Linked DNA regions of Yarrowia lipolytica. The protein of the gene in region 1 interacts with the protein of each later gene in a pairwise test. Links are inferred from orthologs where the notes say so. Each region holds a gene or a part of one and is shown in the gene's direction. Other genes may lie near its edges.

What was found.
Region 2: the proteins of YALI1_B05520g (region 1) and YALI1_E03163g interact in binary tests that used the Saccharomyces cerevisiae proteins (3 or more experiments, as listed by UniProt). The link is inferred for Yarrowia lipolytica from reciprocal best matches to the Saccharomyces cerevisiae genes ESF2 and DBP8.

The regions. Positions count from the first base shown.
Region 1 is NC_090771.1:550,255-553,609, reverse strand, and holds YALI1_B05520g (uncharacterized protein), read left to right. Parts: upstream 1-1,580; coding exon 1,581-2,555; downstream 2,556-3,355. Other genes in the region: YALI1_B05522g (uncharacterized protein), read right to left, coding at 1-1,365. UniProt on the Saccharomyces cerevisiae protein: Involved in the small subunit (SSU) processome assembly and function, and in the 18S rRNA synthesis. Required for the early cleavages at sites A0, A1 and A2. Stimulates DBP8 RNA helicase ATPase activity.
Region 2 is NC_090774.1:314,523-318,364, forward strand, and holds YALI1_E03163g (uncharacterized protein), read left to right. Parts: upstream 1-1,870; coding exon 1,871-3,199; downstream 3,200-3,842. Other genes in the region: YALI1_E03150g (uncharacterized protein), read right to left, coding at 1-557, 651-681; YALI1_E03158g (uncharacterized protein), read right to left, coding at 1,047-1,372, 1,433-1,453, 1,527-1,542; YALI1_E03183g (uncharacterized protein), read right to left, coding at 3,463-3,842. UniProt on the Saccharomyces cerevisiae protein: ATP-binding RNA helicase involved in 40S ribosomal subunit biogenesis and is required for the normal formation of 18S rRNAs through pre-rRNA processing at A0, A1 and A2 sites. Required for vegetative growth.

The DNA.
Region 1 (3,355 bases):
CTTGGTGAAGACAATACGGGTGCCAAATGACTTGAACTTGACTCGGAACTGCTCCACAAGAGCGTTCTTGGGCTCAATCAGAATTCGCAATAGATCCTCCTCGGTCAGATGATTCAATTTGACAATCGTTGGAGCCCGTCCAAGCAACTCGGGAATGAGACCATACTTTTTCAAGTCTTCAGAAGTGATCAAATCCAGAGCATTGGCGGTTTCGCCGTTAGCAAGAGTCACCAGCTTGTCCTGACTGTCCTTTTGCTTGCCCTCATCCTCACCAGTCTGCCTGACATGGGCACCAAAGCCGATATCGGAAGAAGTATTGCATCTAGCTGACACCACGTCACTCAAACCAACAAAGGCACCCATGAGAATAAACAGAATGTTCTGCGTGTTGATTGTGACGCTCTCCTTGGGCATGGCCGAACCTCCTCCCGGAAGACCAGCGGTGGTTTGGGCTCTTCCTGGGGTTCCAGAAATCTGTACAAGAGTGCCTTCCAGCATTTTCAACAGCGATTGCTGTACTCCTTCGCCAGAGACATCTCTTCCAGATCCTTCCCGTTTGGCCAGTTTATCGATCTCGTCCAGAACGATGATACCATGCTCACACCTCTCTACATCGCCTCCACAGACCTGGTACAGCTGCTGAACACACGATTGAACGTCGTCCCCCACGTATCCGGCTTGGGTGAGCGCAGTGCAGTCTGAAATGGAAATTGGCAACGACAAAAAACTTGCCAGAGTCTTTGCCATCATTGTCTTGCCTGATCCAGAAGGACCTACCACCAGCAAGTTGGCCTTGTCCGGAATCACCTGACTTTCTGTCTCCTCATCGTACTCCTCCTTGAGCACGTTGATGTAGTCTGTCGACTGTGGTTCGTCGGTGTTTTCCCAGCGGTCCGAGATTTTGCCCTTGGCGGCGTTGATGCGTTTCATGTAGTCGCTCCATTGTCGTTCGTCAATCAGGAGGCCGCTTCGGAGGTAGTGGTTATAGATCGCCACCGCAAACACCTTCTTGGACCGGTCCTGGCCCACTATGAACTGGTTGAGCTTGGCCAGCAGCTTCCGGGGCGTCATATCCGGCGCCACCGCACGTCGAGGAGGCTCTCCTCCAGGAGGCCCCGTCGACTGTGTTTCTTCATTGAGAGCCGCTGTGGGCACGGTGCGCTGTTTACGTGCCTCGGCGAGTGTCGGGTCAGTGTTCTTGGGCTCCGTGTCGCTCTTGACCGTCCGCTTCCGCCGTTTCTTGGGCTCCTCCACATCTTCATAGGGCCCCTTGGTGGTGGTGTATGACTGTGGCTGTAGAGTGTGGAAGGACACGCAGTGTTGTTTCTGTGTCACCACGACACGTGTCAGTAGTCGGAGGCTCATGCTCGGTGGTTTCTGGGTGGTGATAGCGTCTCTATATGACTCTGGTTACCCCACAGAATCTGCATATGACTATTACGATACTCTCATATCCGATGTTAGATGAGGTAAGATGGGGTTAGGGTTGAGTTCCTTGATTGGAAGTAAATGCAGGTGGGAAATATATTTTCGTGCAGCGACCAGAACAACTATCAGCTACAAGTATACGACTCTTTCAAATGGCTCGAGCAAAAGCCGTGGATTTTTTCAGCACGAAAAACAACTCCAGCGACAGCGAGGAGGAGGAGGACAAGCCGGCGGTCGACCCGCGGTTTGTGCTGGCCGACTCTGATAGCGAGGGAGAAGAGGAACAGGAGGATGGAGACGAGGATGAAGAAGAGAAGGGCCGAACCTCCAAGAAGAAGACCAAAGACTTTTTTGAGCTAGCTGGAAAGACTGACGACGGCGACGATGAGGAAGAGGACGAAGAAGATGAAGAGGAGGAGGAGGAGGAGAAAGAGAAGAAGCCCGTCAAGACTAGTTCTACCAAGGCCAAGACCAAGCCTATGACCAAGGAGGAGATTGAGAAACACAACAAGAAGATCGCCAAGACCGGTGTCGTCTACTTCTCGCGAATTCCGCCGCTCATGGACCCCGGCAAGCTGCGAATGCTGCTCCAGCGGTTCGGAATCGTCGACAGAATCTACCTGGTTCCCGAGGACCCCAAAGCGCAGGCGGTACGAATCAGACATGGTGGAAACAGAGCTCTGGCATACACTGAGGGCTGGGCTGAGTTCACTAAGAAGCGGTACGCCAAGACGTGTGCCAGCACGCTCAACGGCAACACGATTGGAGGAAAGAAGGGCTCGCAGCATTACGACGATATCATGAACGCCAAATACCTTCCCAAGTTCAAGTGGAGCGATCTTTCTGAGCAGCTGGCCCAGGAGACTCACAACCGACAGGCCCGTCTGCGAACCGAAATCTCCCAGGCCACCCGAGAGAACCAGACCTATATCCAGTCGCTGGAGAAGTCCAAGGCTGCCGAGCGACGACGACAGAGACAGGAGGAAGAGGGCGGCGAGACGGAGGAAAAGCCGGCAAAGAAGGTGCATCGAGACTTTTACCAGGGCAAGACCCACAGTGCGAGAGCAAAGGAGGGCAAGAAGGAGTTGGATGGAAGCGTGGGAAGCATTTTGGGCAGTGTCATGTAATAGAACTTATTCAAATGTCGAATGGGAAACACATGAAAGGGGAGCACGGATATTGGGCAAGATTATGTGTCACACTCGCCTTTTCGTTTTGGTAATGAGACCCTTCCTTCTACCAACACTCGATCATATCCCTCATATGAGTCCGAGTACGCTGCATGACACTGGATACTGAGGGACACCTATTGCCAACATCTACGCCCAGCTGAATAGGTAGTAGATATTTGTATACATATATAATGATATGGTTGTTTTCTGTACCGTCGAATCTGCAGTAATATCCCAACTAAAATTCAGAATTTACTTGGATCCCATAAGTATTGAGGGTGGCACAATACACTCCCTATCTCTCTCAATAATAGTCAGAGGATGAGAAAATCCAAATTGTGGCATTATATAATCAGTGCAAGTACAATAGATACAAAAAAATCAGTATATATATTCATGCTTACCACTTTTTGAGGACCTATACTAACGAGGTCAGAATGTTAAATCTTTTTGAAGAAGCCGCACACGATCAATTGTCGAGCCTCTGAAGGCTCCATCACCACGCAAGAACCATCAAAGGAACAATGGTGGAGAATGACGCTACTTTTTTTGACATGATTTGATAGCTCTCGACGAGACAAATACAATGGGCAACTCTGTATCTTCGCTGCTGTGTTCTTCTTTGTTTTAGGCGCCGAAAACGATCACCGAAATCGCTTGCCGATTCCTTTTACATACGGTACCGGTTCATCTACAATATGTCGTCAATTCTACTAAAGAAATGTCAACTCAATCATAAATAATGACATTAGCTA
Region 2 (3,842 bases), on another chromosome or scaffold:
GTCGATTGCCAGTTCAGGTTCGGGCACGTAGTCGCTCTCATCAGGCCAGATCACAGCCAGTCCTTCGTTCTTGCGATTGAGAAGCTCATTGAGAAATTGTTGTCCCACCACATACACCCCCTTGATCATAGCCAGGAGCAGCTTGGAGGAGTTCTTCTTCCCCTTAACATAATGAGTCGTGTCTTCTGAAAAGTATCGTTGCATCCTAATATCAGACCCCTTGATAATCTCATTTAATAGTGTCTCCTCCTCATCTTCATGGTACGAAAACGATAGCGGTCGCCATTTCAATGTGAAATATGAGTCCTCCTTTCGCCCCACTTGAACCCTGTAAGTCGTGCTTCTGTGTATCGAGAATCGCTCCTCAGATTTCAGCTGCAGTCCGTTGACATACACACCTGTGTCGATTCGAGGCTTCTTGATGCTGACAATTTCACATTTCGAGTCGTCCTTGTCAATGATAAGCTGAACATGATTCCGGCTGATGGATTTTCCATCCATGTTGAGAACGTGACTCTTATCACGGCCTATGATGAATTCCGAAGGGAATAGATGGTCTGATGGTTAGAATTGAGTGATGGGAAGCTGCCAGATAGACTTAGCCGACACGTAGAGCCTTGTGTGACACCCTCTTCTCCATTAATACTCACAAGTCGCTTCACCATGGCTCCAAACCCACATTGTGGAGAACCAGTGTTTTGCAGTACTGTACTCATACTATACTTGTATACACTAGGTTTCGGGGTTTGTGCATGGTGGAATCTAAACCAGTGCAGTGAGTTGACTCGTCAACGAAGACGCAGAAAACATACAACTCCTCAAAAGATATCGCCACTTCTATGGATACAGAAAGCTATACATGTCGCAAGACTCCAGTGTTGCTGAACTATTTAATGACTTCTATGTCGAGCTACCCCTTGACCTCGGCGTGATCTCGCCTACAACTCGTCTCCATAGACGGACAGATCTAATAGAATCGGTATAAATATAGATTTACAAACACATGATTTTTAAGGGCTGCCGTTTCCCCGTGTATTGCCTTCACCCTATCGTCTTCGTCCAGGACTCCTGCTCCGATTCTCAGATCCACGAATTCGATGTTGTGAAATGGAGGTGTCTGCTTCATGGAAGGCGAACGACACCTCCAGGTTGTGCTCCAGAAACTCAACTCCGTTAGTCTCTGCAATAGCTGTATCGGCATCGTCCTTGGTGGCAAACTGGAGGAGAGCATACCCTTTGGCGTAACCAGTTCTTCGATCCAGGTTGACGTGGGCTACCTGGACATCTCCGTATGTGCTGTAGAAGTCTGTGAGATCCTCCTCACTAATTTCTGGATGTAGGTTGTCGACAATGATGATCCATCCCTCCGTGGCTGAGTTAGTCAATGGTCAATGCTGTGGCTATGATGTTGTCTCGATCTGTGTGTACTCACATCGTAGAGGTGTGGGTTCGTCTGAGTTAGTAATGAATGACGCTGTTGTGTTGAAGCGATTGGTATTCCGATCAATGTCTCTGTTCGTACTCACTTTCTGTAATACCCATTGTGTCGTGATGCCGTTGTGTTGGAAATGATGATTTCAAGTCGTCCAGTGTGGTTGCATGAAACTTTCAGGAAGTCACTATGAAACGACACACTTAAAGATCATCAATGACCATATGAGGCTGGTAAATAAAAAATGGCCGTTGCTGGTCGTTATATATCATGACATAAAAGGCTTGCACACAGTTTCAATCTCAACGATTACCCCCATCAATTATGCTTACTAAGCCGATTGTTTTAAAAAGTTAAACTTTAGACCAGCATAATCGTTGGAAAAAAATTGAAACTTGTAACCAGAAAAGCAGATCTTCGATTACCAACACTGATAAAATGTCTTTCACCGATCTAGGCTTGCCAGAGTGGCTAAATGAGTCTCTCTCAAACATGGCTATCACCAAGCCTTCCGCTATTCAGAAAGCCTGTATCCCCCAGATCATGAAGGGAAAGGACTGCATTGGAGGAGCTCGAACTGGTAGTGGTAAGACTATCGCATTTGCTGCTCCCATGCTGGCTGAATGGTCCAAGGATCCCTGTGGTATTTTTGGTCTAGTTCTGACCCCTACTCGAGAACTAGCCATCCAGATAGCGGAGCAGTTTACAGCTCTTGGAGCCAACATGAACATTCGAGTCGCGCTCATCTACGGTGGAGTTGATATGGTCAAGCAGAGTCTGGAACTTCAAAAGATGCCCCATTTCGTCATTGCCACACCTGGTCGTCTGGCTGATCATATTCGAAGCAGTGGTGAGGATACCATCCGAGGATTCCGACGGGTTAGATATGTAGTTATGGATGAGGCTGATCGACTGCTGACTCCTGGCTTCGTTCCTGACCTTAAAACTTGCATGGACCTTCTCCCCGATCCTTCAAAGCGTCAGACTTTGTTGTTCACAGCCACTGTTACCGACGCTGTTAGAGCTCTGAAGGACAGAACCGGTGAGAAGGGACCGCCATTCATCCACGAGATTGCATCAGACATTGCCGTGCCTAGCACTCTTACCCAGTCATATCTATTCCTACCTGGTTACGTACGAGAAGCCTACCTGTGGGCTATCCTCACTCATCCAGATAACGAGAAGAAGTCTGCCATCATCTTCGTCAACCGAACTCAGACTGCAGAGACCCTGAGACGAATGCTCATGGCTCTGGACGTTAAGACTGCCTCTCTTCATTCTGAGATGCGACAGCAGGAGCGAGTCAACGCTCTAGGACGATTCCGAGCCCAAGCAGCCCGAGTTCTTGTGGCCACTGATGTTGCTTCTCGAGGTCTTGATATCCCTACTGTGGAGATGGTCATCAACTTTGACCTTCCAGCAGATGCTGACGATTACATTCATAGAGTCGGTCGAACTGCCCGTGCAGGACGAAAGGGCCAGTCTGTCTCTCTTGTCACTGAACGAGATGTAACTCGTGTGACGAACATCGAAGAGAGAGTGGGTACCAAGATGGAGAAGTACGATCTGATCGAAGACGACAAGGTCGTTGAGGAGTATCTCACCCCTGCATCCACTGCCAAGAGACAGGCCGTTCTGGACATGGAGGCCGAGAACTTTGGTGAGCGAAAGCGAATCCAGAGAAAGAAGGCAGGACTGGACGTTGACATGAAGTCCAAGAACAAAAAGCCCAAGCGTGTAGCCAAGGGCAAATCTGACAAGAAATAAAGGATCCATCTAAAAAAAAGTGCATTTATTACAATATATTAGAATCTAATGGCGATGCGGACATCCTCAACTACTTGTCGTTACAAATATGAGTAGTAGGTAGGTAATAAGTAGCTACTGTATGATACGGTACATATACTTGTACACTTACGAGTGTGAGAGAAAGCAATAAATAATCAATTTTATGGAGTGCCATTGGGTCGGAATGAGTTTAGATATGCTGTGTGGAGTGCACTGTATATAGAATTATGAATACAGGTCCCCTACTTCTTACCTTCATATAATCCCTGGTAGTACCCTGCCCAATACCAAGCCATGACTAGACTTCGAACACTCTCGTCCAGATGATCCAAAGAAGGTCCAGTGGGTGCCGATGCCGATCCGGATCCTGGGTTCGCCATTGAGGTTTCGTCGTTAGAAATGTTGGATATCTCAGCAGCTTCTAACAACTTGTTAGCTGTGTCGGCTGTGTCGTTCATATCCGCATCATCATCCTCTTCTGGCATTTCCTTCTGCTCCTTGTCGGTTCTCATCTCATTGATCACTGCACCTTCCGTCGTGCTCTTCTTATGGTACTTGAGATATTCCTCGTATGCCTTATCCCAGGTCGCCACGAGTTGGCTGTCGTCCCATTGTTGGTTCA